Linked DNA regions of Alligator mississippiensis. The protein of the gene in region 2 interacts with the protein of the main gene of each other region in a pairwise test. Links are inferred from orthologs where the notes say so. Each region holds a gene or a part of one and is shown on either strand. Other genes may lie near its edges.

Evidence for each region. The genes of interacting proteins can lie anywhere in the genome.
Region 1: the proteins of FHL5 (region 2) and CREM interact in a two-hybrid assay, tested with the Homo sapiens proteins (2 studies listed by BioGRID). The link is inferred for Alligator mississippiensis from reciprocal best matches to the Homo sapiens genes FHL5 and CREM.

Annotation. Positions count from the first base shown.
Region 1 is NC_081828.1:195,073,309-195,081,120, reverse strand, and holds the start of CREM (cAMP-responsive element modulator), read right to left. Parts: upstream 3,093-7,812; 5' UTR 2,995-3,092; coding exon 2,951-2,994; intron 1,817-2,950; coding exon 1,693-1,816; intron 1-1,692.
Region 2 is NC_081824.1:82,615,549-82,623,531, reverse strand, and holds the start of FHL5 (four and a half LIM domains protein 5), read right to left. Parts: upstream 3,048-7,983; 5' UTR 2,852-3,047; intron 1-2,851. UniProt on the Homo sapiens protein: May be involved in the regulation of spermatogenesis. Stimulates CREM transcriptional activity in a phosphorylation-independent manner.

The DNA.
Region 1 (7,812 bases), on a different chromosome or scaffold from region 2:
TCCAAACTAAGTGGCACAACAGAGTAGAGGTGGGGGAGGGGTTAAGAGGAAAATGAAGAGACTAAAAAGAGACTAAGCTTTGAGCAGCATCTTGCAAAATTTTCAGATGAAGGCTATGGGAAAGCATGTTATGATATGTCCTGATGTCTGAATACCAGCTACCTCATTAATTGCTACATGTAAGCCACATTGGAACAAACTTTGAGCTGAGAAAGACAGACCCTCAGCATCATATTAACATGCCATAAAGTAGAAGGAAACTATGAACAGGTTTGGTGTCATATAGACAACAACCTAAGGGCCCACTGGACACAAAGAATGGGCCTGATACACTTGAGTACAAAGGAGGCTTGAAGAAACTACTAGCTTCAAAGAGGTGGGCATAAGAGTTCTTAAGTTCCATGACCGAACTACACTTCAGATTCATGTCTATGAATACAATTATTTTCACCGCCTGGTAACAACAAAAAGTAAATAACAACTAATATTTATAAAGGAAACCTATGTTGAGTAGGCCATCTCAGTTCAGTTCCTAATTCACACGAATACACATCAAAACAGGCACTGATACTAATTACAGAAGACCAGGATAACTGAAGAGCTTTCAGACAGAACTACTAACATGTACACATGACTGTAGAACCAACTAAGACATCAATTCTTTGGCTACTACACATCTGATATGTGCACGCTATCACAGAGATTCACTTGATAAATACAGGAGGACAGGTCTGTAGGCAAGCTGGCAAAAACCATGGGAAACCAGAGACTAGCAGAGGAATAACGCTCTCAACATTAGCATTATGCTACAAAAATTATATTGGAGCAAAATAACTAACTCACGAACCCTGCCCGAGTAAAAAAACTTGAGACAAAGCCACAGGTGCGGAATCAAATGGCTCAGGAGTCCTACACTATGCTAAAGGATTAGGATATAAATACCAATCAGTATACTGAAATATGAAGTATAATTCCTTTTTAACATTTTCTACTATAACTTTTGCTTGAATATTTTAAGATGTAAGACGATATATCATCATTACAAATGTAGAACATTATCGTATCATCTGTCTCCCTTATTTATCAGCAAAATATTTTGAAATATCTCTTTAAACAAATCCCAAAACTGCTTTTAGGTGCTTAGGGAAGAAACAGAAATATACACCTCAGTACTTACATGTTGAATTCGACTCATTTTGAGCAAGAAAACTAGGGGTAAAAAAATCAAAATTTATTTTCATCCAGCTTTTGGGTTGCAAAACATCTCCAAACTCTAGGACATAAGAGAACACCACGTACCTTACCTACCTCTAACTTTTCTGGCTGTCTCAACTCTTTAGGTCATCACATGAACAGTGTACGGCTCTATTGCAAAAACACGGGTAAAATGATGCCTATAACTTTCCACTCTTGTGTCACTCTGAGAAGCCCCAAATTCCCAAAGAGCTATTTTTGTGAAGAACTTAAAATAATGTACAGCATTATCTGTGGCCCTTACTCTGTCCCATCCTTAATACAGAAGATGTGTTTTGAGATTCAATTGAATCCCTCCTATAAGAAAATGAAATGTATGTATGACATGGGGAATATGATGATCAGCAGTAAAGTGTCATATTTATCTCAATACAGGTAACAATTCTAAATGTTCTTTATTTTTGTTTGCTTCTCCTATCCTTCTGTGTTTCAGATTACCTGAGCTATGGGAGGAATCTGACTTTGGCCTGGCAGGTTTTGCATGCGAACAGCATCACTCTCTGCTGCAGACTCTGCAGCACTTCCATCTTGTTGTGATTCAACCATTTCCATGGTCATTTGTCTAAAAAAAATAAGTAAAATAAATACATACAGAATGCAGTGCAAGGAACTGAAATCAGAACTGAAGAACATACTTATTTGAATATTATTAATTCCCCCTCATTTGTTCACAATTTCATCTTTTGAAAGTATCTGACAAAAAGATCAACCCAAGAGTCTCATAGAATCACAGTATATCACCATGCACTGCCTATAAATTGGAACTCAAGTTCAGTCCCTTGGCCAGGGAAGGAAGTACTATAGTCAATACCTCCAGTATACAGTACAGAAAAAGAAAGAATAATTTTCTGGCAACCCATTCTTTCTGGATGCTATTTCTGATGGGAGAGCCACATCAAGCCTTTACTGTGTGTCGGGCAAGGAAACAAGGAGGGGTGCTGGGGCTAAAGAAACTTAATGGTGTAAAGCAAAGAGAGTATTTTGAGAAGCCCTTATGGGCAAGGTAGAAACACCTAACAATTCTTTATTATTTGCTTCTTTTATAGGACTAACTAAATAGCTGCTTGTGAATAATAAGTAGATTCAATACAGTATAGGGTCAGATGACTTTGAAGGGTTATCTAGGAGGAAATTATTAGAAAATTAATCTTTTCTGAGTTCCTTTAGGTTAAATACTGAAAAATATTATAGGTCCCTCAATCAAAAAACACAGATGGACAAATTTATGTAAAGAGTGATTTTGGCTTACACTTGTGGATTTTTTTTTCTGACTTCATTTTTTATCTATTCGCAAAATTAGGTATCAGAGACAGATAGGGGAGAAATACAGAAGTTAAGCCAGCAAAATATCTGAAGTGTTCAGACAGGTACTGCACAAAAATTTTACTGATCTTGTCTACTGAACACAAACGTTCCCCCCCTCTAGACAAAAAAATAATTATTTATAGTTTTTGTCTATCTTCCCTTATCACAATTCAAAATATAACGATTTAATACTTGAAAACAGGACTAATCCCATTTCAAACCAAACCATATGCATTTGGCATCACCACTGGGTTGTGTTGTGACATCATTTTAGATGGTATAGAGCTTACCTCAATTGATAAGTTACACAGGAGCTTAGCTAATTGCACAACCATCAATTAACACTTATGAACTTGGAGGAAACTTTCAAACATATCAACTTGATAATTACCTTACAGTTATTTTTCCATGGTATTTCTTGACACACTTGCTCATAGTGGAAGTATGTGTGTTTTAAAACAAAAGCTTGGTTCTCCTCAGCTCTCTCTCCCTCCTACTGAACACCACACTGAAGTTATGATGTTGAATTTGTGATGTCACAATCATCACCATGGCAACAAACTGATATCATAAACAGTATTAGACATTATGACAGGTTCAAGCAGTAAGAGACAGAGAAAGCTGTCAAACACACACCTCAGATATTATCACAAGTGCAAAGGAAAAAAACCATAAGGACAGGAGAACTGCTTCATTTGGTGGTTCTCAACCTTTTTATACTCAAGGCACTCCTCAGAAAATGTTAGCTCTTAGATTTCACTCAACTTTTGACTACAGAAAAGTTCTGTGGCAAAGAATTCAGCAAGACCACAACAGGTGAGAAAGTGTTTAACACTATAAATTCCTACTTGAAATCTATGGGTTTATCTTCTGAACAAGGTTTCCATACCACAGAGGTTAACATTGCATGGCATCTCATGACACCTCTGAAAAAAATCTCAAGGCACCCCAGGGTACACTGGCTCCCTGGTTGAAATTCGCTGGCTTAGATGTTACTGCCATTTCCTTACAATGTATTTATGCTCTTTTGTAAAAGCTGGGGCCTGAACAGGCAAAACCCAGCTGTAAAGTTCAACTGTTGGCAAGTGAGCAGAACTTTCTGAAGTTTATTCTTGGGTCTTACATCATCATGCAAAACAGGCGGGGACTGTTCTATTTCAAAGATTCTGAGGGTTCTGAAAAACAAATCTAGAGACACATTCATGAGTTAACTACTATTATCTTAGAGTACAGACACAAGCGACAATTTTAGCCTGATGTGGCCACATGAAGTTGTCTATAGCTGTGACCAAACACAAATGCATAGCTGCAGACTGCTTCAAAAATGGCAGATTGGGTGAAAATCTGACCCCTCATTGCATGAGGGGTCAAAGCAGATGTTTCAAAACAAAGCATCTTCTGTAGCTTCTGTCTGTGCTGCCTGCCAGCCTTGAGATGTTTTCAGAATGGGAGGGCAAGGAAGGAAAGGGAGGAGTGAGTTTGGTTTGGGGGTTTTTTGGCCCCTGCTGGAGGGTGGGGCAGGTGTATTAGAGCACCCTGGTCCAATTCACCCACCCCACCCAGCACTGGCCAGGAAATCCCTAGAACGAGCTCCCTCCCCGCCCCTCCCGTTCTGATACAGGGACAGGATGGGCGAGAGGGGGGCCGCTGCTAGGGGAAACCAGCTGCAGGCTCCCAACCCACAGCTAGATTCCCCTCCCCTTTGGAACCAATGGTCCAAGGGATCATTGTAATTCAGAACGCTTCCTGCAAAGCACTCTCAGTTACAGTGGAGAGCTGAACTTCCTGCTGCATCCTCAGTGTTTTCTGGAATGCCCTACTTCAGTTAAGGGATTTGTCTCTCATATTCCAAACACGCTCGTTACAATGCTTGATTCTAATGTGAAAAGGGATAAAACTAATCGAATGGTATCTCTGGGCAGCAAAATTATAGGTAACTTCCCCTCCCTGCACAGATACCATCATGATTAGTTTTACAAGAATACCCTGCCAGTATGTCCCCTCTGCTGATCTCAGCTACATTAATGTCTCTTGGTAATTAGGTTCTAAACAATAATAAGCTTTCAGGGTTAGAACTGCCTTCTTACCATCTACCAGAAAAATCTCAGGAAGCCAATTCTGCTCACAGAGCACTGGCAAGCAAAGCTCCATTTAAATTAGCCTGAACTACAATCCCATTGTATCTAACTGTATCTTTCTACACTATATGCAAGGCGATCTTGTTGACTCACTACATATTACACAAATAACACTGCGATAATAGGCAACGTTCTAGGAAGAAATCCTCCCTCCCCTAGTAATCTTAGCATGCCCTTAAAACAGAGGCATGGGGACTGGACAATATATACGAATTTACCTCTGAAAGAATGCCTCCACAGACAACAAAACAACTTAAATACCAGAGTGAATGTAATCTGTATGCACTGCCAACACATTCACTACATACTATTAAAAATGTGATTCTAATTATTGTACACTAGCAGGTCCAAAAATATACAAGAATATTTTATATTCAACATAATCTCCCACAGATATCCAGTTAAAAAAATTACTATTTTTCCTATTCCCACTATGTGTCCCACAGATTTCATTTACTGAAAGCTACTTTTAATGCTTCAGAAACTGATATATTTCCAGGTGCTATTTCACCGTTTTTGACTTGGTTTGTATTCTGTGTAACCAGTACATCCATCAGTTAATTGAACAGTATTTCTTCTTAAGTATCAAAAAGCCAAAAACAAAATGTTAGCTAGTATCCCCTAGCCAGTTTTGTAGTTTCCCAGATAGTATTTAATCCTTCATTGACTGCCAATTGTCACTCTTTTTACAAAGCAGCTTTATTTTACTATTTGCTTTTGAATTTAGCAAGACCAGCAAGGAACATATCAAGTCACTTCCATAGTGTAGGAATCTAACTACTTATCACTACAAGTTAACTGATTTTACTCTTGCATCTATGTTATTTACAAACAACGAATATTCTTGTCTATGTTGTTGTATAAATGTATAGCTTAACTTTAATCATGAGAATACAAAATAAAAAAATTAAGAAAATATTACTAGAACAAGAGGGAGAACTGAAATATTTATTTTTTAGATACTCTGTACTAAACCAGTAAGAACTCACTGGCAAGTACAATATACCTCTGCAAGACATAACTTAATTCTTCAAAGATATAGTTATATATATTCTGGGTCTCAAAGTGGATAGATGGGTAATTGATGTAAAAAACAAATCAACTGAAAAGCAAGTGATGAAGTTAGCCATCAATATTTTATTATTTAGGAGCATAATTTGTCTAAAATTAGGAGAATAGCAGTATTAACAATGCATAAAAATGTAAAAGGCAGGTGGGATTAATTCAGTTCAATCCAGAGACTACCAATATGAAATGCGTTTTCTTCCATCAATGTAAATTCAGACTTGGGTAGAAGCAAACCTACCTATTATCAAAGAAAATGTATCAACAGATTATTTCTCAATTTCCCGATTACACCCTTTCTTTAAAAAAAATCCAAAGATTTTTGAAAAAGCATTAAGACCTACAGTCATGTCTTTAACTGAATATGTATAGCAAAACCTTAGTTCAGTTTGAGTGGGAAAATCATTTAAAACAGGAAACAGCTTTATTTTCTTTTAGAAGGAAAATTGAACAAATACAGTGTTAGAGAAGACAGAATTATCTTTAATTCAAAAGTTTGAAAAAGCTGAAGAATGCACTGCAATCAAAAGCTTGTTGTCTAAGTCTACCTCAACCATGCCACTAGCCCAGTAAAGGATAATCCCCCCAAAAAATCCTTGCCACTTGCAAAAAGCTGCATTTTATATTAACACTTAAATTCTATAACAGAATCAGCTATTCCATTTGACTGCACCCAAGAGATGTACTGAACTATCATCAACTGATAGTTTGTAGTACAAATTGTCAGAGAACCCATGTTTTAAGGAAATGCTTTCATCCTTTGAAAGCAGACTAGGAATATATGCTGCATAGTGATTTATTTCTCCTGTGTCAACTGCTTTAACCTCCTGCTCTCAAAATGTATTTCAGGTTACGGGAGTGACATTTGGCACTAGTCTAGTACTAGGACATTTAAACTCCCAAAGGACCTCACTGGCATACTGCTCAGTTCTGAAAAAAGGGCAGCATTCCAGAGGTGTTATTAGTACTGGATGCTGTAAGGAGCAGTATTTTTAAAACGCTCAATAAAGATGTCAGACACATGAGAGGGCCAAGGCCACACCTCCTTCTACCTTTCCTCCCCAAAATAAACCCCACACTCAGAATATTTATTCCAATAGATGTGATTTATCTTATCAAACAGAGAACAGAACTTTTTGGACAAAAGCCAGCTGAGAAGCAGCAATAGCCAAAAGGTAAAGGTGATCATATGATCTACAGCGGGCAAAAAGTTATCAGAATCTGGAGGTGCAAACTTTAGCTCTAGTAGATCCTTTTTTGTTTTGTCTTGAGACTCAGTTGTTAAACAAATCCTTAACAAGAGCCAATGCAAGAAAGTGGCTTTGAAAAGGAAAAACTGCATACCATATCCAATCTTGCAGCCCTATAAGTAACTGAATATGTATCTAAGTATTTAATGTTTTGCTGGTGAAATATAATATTCAAACTAATCCAGGACTTGAAGCATCTGATTAAATACTCGAATCATTTTATGACATGTTTTTTATTGCAGTAGTAATACAGCATGATACAGTACAAAACATGAGAAATTCTTTACATAGGCAGCTTAGTAGTGAGGAAACTGGAATTTAATCAGAGGATTAATAAACTTGATCAGGACTTTAGTACAGGCCTCTCTGAAGGCTCACCTCTACAGGAAGTCATTGCGAACTAAGGCAGGGTGGGATCTGAACACGTCAGTTCATCTGCGGTAACTCCCTGTGTAACCTCTTTGGCTAGAAACAGACTTGGTGGGAAGGAAGGGCTCAGCTCTGCCGCATACTTTGTGGCATAGCCCACTCACTTCACTGGGCCCAACATATTGCTCAGCGTCTTGCCCTTGATGGGACAGGACAAGGGGTGACATGAAATCCTGGCTGTCCCCGTTACCTGGGCCAGCCCATAATTTTTTGGGGGCCCCTGCGAGATATAGTTTTGGGGGCCCCGATCCATCAACAATTCAAAATTGTGGTTAACTGCAGCATAAACTCACTAAAATAAAATAGTCAGGGCTGGGCTGCACACACGTGGGCTGCACAGCGTGGTGTAGGGGCAACATGTGCTGGGGATA
Region 2 (7,983 bases):
GTTAAACAAAAAAAAAAGTACCCAAAATGAGCTGAATATAATCTTCAGGCCAATTAAAGGATCACAGCTGGCTTGTTTACAGGACTTACTATGCTTAGTACTTCCATGCTTCAGCTCCAAGCCTTTGATTCCAATGCACTTTATAAATTATTAATAAACTACTCTTCATCATCTCCTTGTGAGACAAATATTACTTTCATTTTACAGAGGAGGATGCTGCAAAATCTTTATCTTACAGATAGGTCATGCAAACAGTGAAATGACTAGGGCAAGATCCTGCTTGAAAGTCTGTGATAAAAGGAGGAAAATACACCAGACTTAATGTAGTAACTACAAATTAAGACTTAACATTACAATCATTTTAAAGCCCTTGGGTGTTTAAAAATGTATGGATGACTACTGATATCACTGAATTATTATTGCATTGGGTAGTATGATCTGGTAAAGAGCTGGTGCACTAAAATGTTCCACTTATTAACTTGATAAGCCAGTAGTTATGGTTTAACAAAGCTAACATTAGCCGTGTTAAACCATATGCTAATGTTAAAATATGGCTAACATTATGCATAATATGAAACTTGCTTGGGTGCACACTTACATGCACCCAAAATAGCAGATAATTCAGCAAGATAATGGATTGTCTACGTTAAGAAAAGCTGAGAAGTGTCCAATGCTTTGTAAGCATCATCTATCATGACAGATGCTATGGATGGCTTAGATTAATACCTTTAAAGCTGAAGAGTGTCTACTTAGCCTGACAAGTTCTTCCGATGGCATAACTGGAGCAAATTCCATTGCAATTTAGCATGCATGTACAACTACGTTTTAACTGATGATAAATTATCCAAAGTGTTTTGTGTACAAATTAATTAACAGGATGAGTAGGTGGCTAGAAGAGATAAGATTGTGAAGGACATTGATATATATTTCATGAGAACTACTGGAAGTACCATGACTAGAATAATGGGGGAACAAAAAGAAACTGAAATAAAAAAGAACCTGACACAGGAAACATTAAAACAGCTTCAGGGCAAAGAGTTGCAAAAGCCAAGCCAGACCAAGAAATACATGGAGGGAAATTTCTGAAGTCAGATTATCAGGAATCAAAGAAAAGCCTTAGCACTGGAAACAATGAGGTGGGACGAGCCACTACTTTGTCAGTCATCTTATAGTTTTATAAAATTGTATACATGAAAGAGCTATGAGAGAGATTTTTTATCATTTTCCATTAGATTTCCTGTATTTTTGAAGCAGCTTTTGTGCAGTGCTGTTCAATTTCCGAAGAATCCTATTAATTTAATTCCTATTATATCAAACCCTCCCTAATGGAAAAAAGTCTATAAGATAAATGGACTGAGATTTTCAAAGCCACATCCACAGATCTGGATGACCACTTCCTAATAAATGCAAATAAAAAAATGGAACATAAGTGGCATTTCATTATTCCTATTTACAAAGCCTGCTTGCAGACGTAACCCCCCCCCAAAGTAAACGGTGCTTTACTTTATACTCTGTGCACCCCTGTGCTGAGTCAAGAGGCATCATGCCCACAAGAGGCATCATGTTAGTTAGTTTTCCATGTCCATCACAGCCAAAGTGTTGGGGGCTCCACAAGAACTATGAAGCATATATAACTAGACTGGAAGAGATTGAATTCTTAGAATTTCTCTATGTGGCACCTCTCAGAAAACTGACAGGGAAATACTCACAAAAAGTAAATTTGACCCCATCTTTTGCTATTTACACAGACTTCAGCTTTTAAAATTAAACCGTAACAGCAGAAAATAAATTGTAAAGAAAGCTGGCTTTACCGGCATGTGGGCAAGAGGACATCTTAAGGGATTTATGATATCTATCAAAAGTATTCCTCAAACTTTGCCTACAAATAACCTTGAGATACCATGGGTCAAAACTGATCCGTCGCTCCTTCAAAAGCCCTGCAATTTTCTCGCTTTCAACTAGTAGAAGTTGGAGCTTCAGAGTGTATAACAAATATGTTGAAAATAGAGAAAGCTATAAAATAGTATACTTCAGAATATATTTGTGATTACAATATAAATTGTGTTTAATAAAACTATTAAGTACGATTTTGGTCTTGTATTCAAAAGGAAAAATGACTCTCTGTTACCTATATGAACATAGCACCAAACATAGTGCTCTCTACTACCTATATGAAATCAGGTAGCACCGATTTTATATTGTATTGTCCTTCAATTATGGATAATTTCCATCTTTTTATCCATAAATGCAAAACTTTTTTTTATGCACCGATACATCTCTTCAACCTAATTGTAATCCTTTAAATTCTAAATCTGTATGAAATTTAAAGGGACATTTGAGAGCTCTCCCCCAATGGTAGATAAATATCCAACACACATTGTCCCAATTCTATGAGAAAACAAACATACATTTTGTTAATTTCCTGAAGAGATGATGGTAAGGTCTAGTTGCTCTTTTAAAAAAAACAAAAAACGATAGTAATTAATAATCTAATTAATAGCATGGATATGATTAAACTTTCAAACAAATGTTGGAGCCTCTTCTTGGTATATCTTAAGAAAACTGTTAAAATTTTCACACAACTGCAGGAAATTTGAAGAAGGTGCATTTTAAAGGAAAAATTCAGGAAAAATCTACTTTTTGATATATATAGCATATGCCTTTATCTTCGTTAAGTCACTGTAATTAATTAAAACAGTCTATTCAGAATCAAAGATGAAATTAGAAGTCATGTGTAAAGAGAAATTCTTGCTTAGCTGTTCATAAACTGTTCATTGGTCACCTGGTACCCTGGCATTTCAAAATGTTCTCAAATAAAACAGGGGTAAGAGAAAGGAGATACAATACTTACATTTGATTTCAAGCTGCTTCTGTTGGTGACCGTGTAGCAAAATAAAGGAAGAAAAATAAGATGTTTTCAGAAACATTCATCAAGTCCAAAAGAAACAGAATTGTTTGCCAAAGCTATTTAAGAATCCCATCAGAATTTGGCTCGGTGGAAGTAGGCTGAGGGTCAGCTCGTTTCCCTTAGACCTTGTGACATGCAGATAGCTGGCTCCCTCAGCTCTGAAATCAAAACAATTCTTTGACATAGTATGCTCACACACTGTAGAAAAATATATATCATGTACAATGTTCTTAAAGGAGCAAGTCTCAGAATGAGTTTTGAGAACTTTTTCAAAGAAAAAGCACTTGGACAAAACCTCTGCTTCCCCCACTCCCACATATCTCTTTTCCCCCCACAAAACAAAACCGAAAAAAACGACCATTGCAAAAGAAACTGAACCTATTCATTCTTTAACCATTGTATATTGACTTTCAGCAGTATTTCCATGGGACTTGATTGGGAAGTGAAACTCAAAACTCCCCACACCCCCTCCTCGATCTTTGGGGTGTTCTGAATTGGATTTGTCAGGAAGGGGCAGAGCAGGATGAGACAAAAACTCCAGTCTTTCAGTACAGAACCACTGGCATTACTATTCCAGTTTGATGTGGATCTTGTATTCAAAAGTTACTGGACAGAGGCAACAACAACCATTCCAGTCACAAGAACTAATGGCTCCTTTCTGTCCTCTCAATGCTCTCATACTTAAAATGTGTAAAGGGCAATTTTCCCAGCATTTGATAAAGTGAACAACCTGAATGGAAAGTCTCCTGCAGACACTGGGCAGCAAAAGTCCCCATTTTGTGTGGGGACTTGGTTGAACTTCACTGGAGGAAAAATTCATCTATTGTGAGGAACCTAGAGGAGAACAAGAGGATCAGGAACCACCAGTATGGATTCACCAGGAATATTGTATCCATTAAAACCAGAGTGAAATTAAACAGTGGTTCAGTTATGGCTTGAACAACTCAACTTTACATCATCAGGCCCTCTGTGCACCACTAATACAACAATATATTGAAGGGCTACATCAGGTTTGGTAGCTAATGTTTCACGGAGCAGGAGCCCTGTTTTATGAGACAGCCACAACAAATACATGCATCTCACCTTTCTTTAAACAAAAGCATTTAGTACATCTTAGATGATGATTAGTTGTCACTTCTAAAGAAATGTTACCAGATACTTAAGATTATACTCCAAAAATTGCCAAGTAAAAATGCAGCAAATTATCATCCAAATCACTTTGTCAGAAACCCAATACCAATCAAAGTAACACACAAAGGGCATGTCTATGTGTTGCCATATGGTGACATTGCTACCATGCGTGAAGTACATGGTTAGATTTTGCTGTTCCATTGCCGTAGCAGCACACTATACTGGGGGAGCAGGTCACTACGGCGATGTAGCTGGCGATCATGTGTAGCCCTGCGTGATCACTACGGTGCCGGAAGGCAATGTGTAGATATACCCATACACTATGTTCTTGCCATGTATAGAATGAAATACCACAGGAAGTAAGTTTCTCACCATGTATAATAACCATTAGTCTTTTTACTAACAGTTAGCAAACAATTCCAATTTTTCCAACATTTTTGTTTTTGTAAGTCATGTTTCCTAGTTTGTAATCATTTTTGTTGAATACTTCTGATCTTCTAATGACGTTTGCTGGACCCTTTTCAGTTTGTTCACATTTTTCTTCAAATGTGGTGCCCAGAACTAGATACAGTACTCAATCAGTGCTGAACAGAATGGAGGAGTCTCTTCCCTTGACTTGCGGGTGGGGTAACATTCCTGTTAACACAACCCAGTATGCTATTGGATTTTTTAGCAAAAAGAACAAGCTTTTGGCTCATATTTAGCTTGCAGTCCACTATAACCACCGTAGTTCTTTTCTGCAGTACTGCAGTCATTCCCCAGTCCCTATTAGCACATTTAATTGTTCTGATTTAAGTGCAAGACTTATAGAATTTCATTTGATTAATTTTGGACCATTTCTCCAATTAATCAAGGACATTCTGAATCCTAATTCTATTTTCCAAAGTGCAAAATTCACTCTCCCCAGCTTGGTGTCACCTGCATATTTACTAAGTGTACATTCAACCCCAGCTTCCAAATCATAAATGAAGATATTGAACAGTACCAGACCCCATAAGAACCCCACTAGATACCTTTACCCAATTAGATCCTGGAAATGTTTTTCAGATTATACTTGGGTGGGGAAAATAGTCTTAAGTATGAGAAAGAAAAACGTCTATTTTCTACAGTCAAACCTTCTAATTATCCGGAAGTTTCAGATGACCAGTGTTTTTGTCTACGACTTTGCTTTAATCAAGGTGACGTTACACCTTAGTCATAAACCGTAATAACAGCATTTAAAAATGCGAGCATTTGCACTTTAAAGCTCATCAATTTTTAAGTGCAGTCCAAGCATCTCTGGGCCATGCAACCTAGCTCATGTTAGCTCCTAGTCTGCTCCATGGAATTCAAACAACCAAGTTACAGTCCTCCAGCATCCCAGGAAGCACTGCTTCCAGCCCCTCTCCCTCCCCCACAGAACAGGGATAAGAGTCCAGGCATCCTGGCTCGTAGCCATACCCCCCCACCCATCAAGCCTCAAGTGGCAAGTCATAGCTGTGCAGGCAAGAAATGATATCTGGGAAGGGGCAGGAGACTGCTGACCGGGTTTTTCTCCACGATCCTCTTCTCTCACTGCAGGGAGAGAGAGGCTGGCCCCAGGGTGGCAGTTCAAGATCAGCCTAAGCCTGAAGATCAGGGTGCGAAAAGGGCCCGGGGAGTGAAGGGGCTGGAAAAGGACTGAGAGAGGGCACGCTGGGAGAGGAAGCGTCGGGGAAAGCGTTGGGGAAATGCCACAGAGGGAAGAGCCAAGGCAGAGAGCCTCAGCGTGGCTTGCTGGGAAGGGGAAGCTGCAGCAGGACGTCAGCCTGGAGAGGGGCTAGCAGCGAGCCAGGGAGCAGCTGGGCAGAGTGGCTGCGAAGATCGGAGGAGCTGGAGGAGATGAGGCAGAGCCAGGAAGCCTCGCATGGAGAGCAGAGCCATTGGCACGCCCCAGTAAAGAGCAGCTGGGCAGCTGCACGTGGCTCACCAGAAAAGCTGAGCCAGCTGTGCACCCTGGTGAAGGATGGCTGGGAAGACACATGTGGCTTGCCCAGAGAGCTGAGCCAGCTGTGCACCCTGGTGAAGAACTGGAGGGAGAAGGGCTCAGAGCTCCAACTGGACGGGCAGCATTGGAGCCCAGAGGTACCCAGTGGGGAAGAGTGGGGACGGAAGCCAGGAGGCAATGCCAGGCCTAGCAGGGAAGCCCCAACTGGACCTGAGGCTAGTCAGAGCTCGGAAGTGATCCATTGGGGTGAGAGTAGACCCTAGGAGGGCTGAAGCCCTAGTGATGAGGCAGAACATGAAGTCCCAAGCAGCATCGAGGCCAGGAGCGGTGGCTGGCTGGGTGGGTACCTGGGGGCACAGCAAGGCACTAAGAATTCCCACTCAGAGTATGGCAAGAACCGATAGCCACAAGTCTATACCAGCGGAGGCTGGTCAATTGTACTTTAAATTAATTCCTAAGTTATTATTGAAAGAATTGCCTAAAGCAAATCTGTGATGAGGTCAGTCACAGGGATGTTAGTCCATGCCAAAGGATGGCTGACAACAGGCCGACAACTTGGGAGCAGCACATACAGGCTCTTCCTGGAAGGGGCTGGGCTGGGATGCGCTTGGGGCAGGCAGCAGTGGCAGTGCTGGGAGGCCAGCTATGGGGGCGGTGGGGGGCTGCAGCCACCCCATTCACCACAGCCTCAACGCCCCCTCCCAGTGCTGCCAGTCACCCCGACCTTCCCTGGGTGCAGGCTGGCCCAGCCCCTGCCAGGAAGACCCCAGAGCAGCTCTGGCCCCAGTCCACAGCTGCAGCCTGCTCTGCCTAGATCTGGGAGGCACATGCCTCCCCACCAGGGTGCACACAGTGGCAGGCGCTGCCCTGCCCCCCGATGAACCATGGCTCCATCCTGAGCCCTGCCACGGCTGTGCAGCCCCAGCCTCACTCCCTCCCTCACTGTGGAGGCATTGATCTACCCCCACCCCCAAGTCTCTTCTTTCCCCCCTTCCCTTCCACCACAACAGACTTACCAGCTGGACACAGCTCTCCATACTGCTGAGCTGTGCTATGTGCTGCACTATGGCTGCACGCATGCATGGGGCATTTATTGGCCACATTATTGGCCACATCAGGCCAATTTCCGATGCAGTCAATTTTCTCTATAACAGTGCCGATCCAATATCGGACCCATGTATTGGTGCACCTCTGCTTCCTTGATTCACATTCTTTTTTTATAAAGTGCAGACAATCCCCTCAAACATTTTGTGGAGAGTGCAGAGTGAGTGGGGTAAGAGTGGAGATTGGGAACAGAACTGCTGCCTTGCAACCCCTTTCTATCATTTAAATAAAGCTATATTTAAAATGCATCTCTCTAGGAAAGTCTTAGAGAATTTATGGAGCAGTAATGAATCCAAAATCCATTCCCAGGTAACTTGATACAAGTGAAAATTCCCTAAGCAGCTGGGGAAAAAAAAGAAGGTATTAAAAAGAAAGCTGCAGCTTTGCCTAGGGAAGCAGTGCTTTGTTAGCAAGTCTGCCAGGAATAAGTCTAGTTGCAGAAGCCACATAGATACAGCTTCTAATCAGACTGCTGGAAAGGATGTAATTCTTATACTTAAAGGTCAAGAAAGTACCTTTTAGTTGAGAACAGGAATGGGGTTACATGTACTGCATCTCTTAGCAAATACTAAGAGTGTTGACAGTAGTAAGGTGTGGGGAGGGACTGACACCTAGCATTTAAAGCTAAGTATGTTGAGATTGATGTGCAGCTTGTTTTTCATTTTCCCTGATACACGAAGAGGTAGCCTTAGCTTCTGTAGAGAATCTCTGGTCTCTACGATATGTATCCTAAAAATAAACTGCTTTCCTATTCCTCATCCACAAGCCCATCATATGTAGAAAAAAAAGAAATTGAGTAAAATAGTGAGCTTTGAATAGACCATCTCTTCCCCCTCCACCCTAACACTTACCTAAGAACACTAAAGACTGTTCT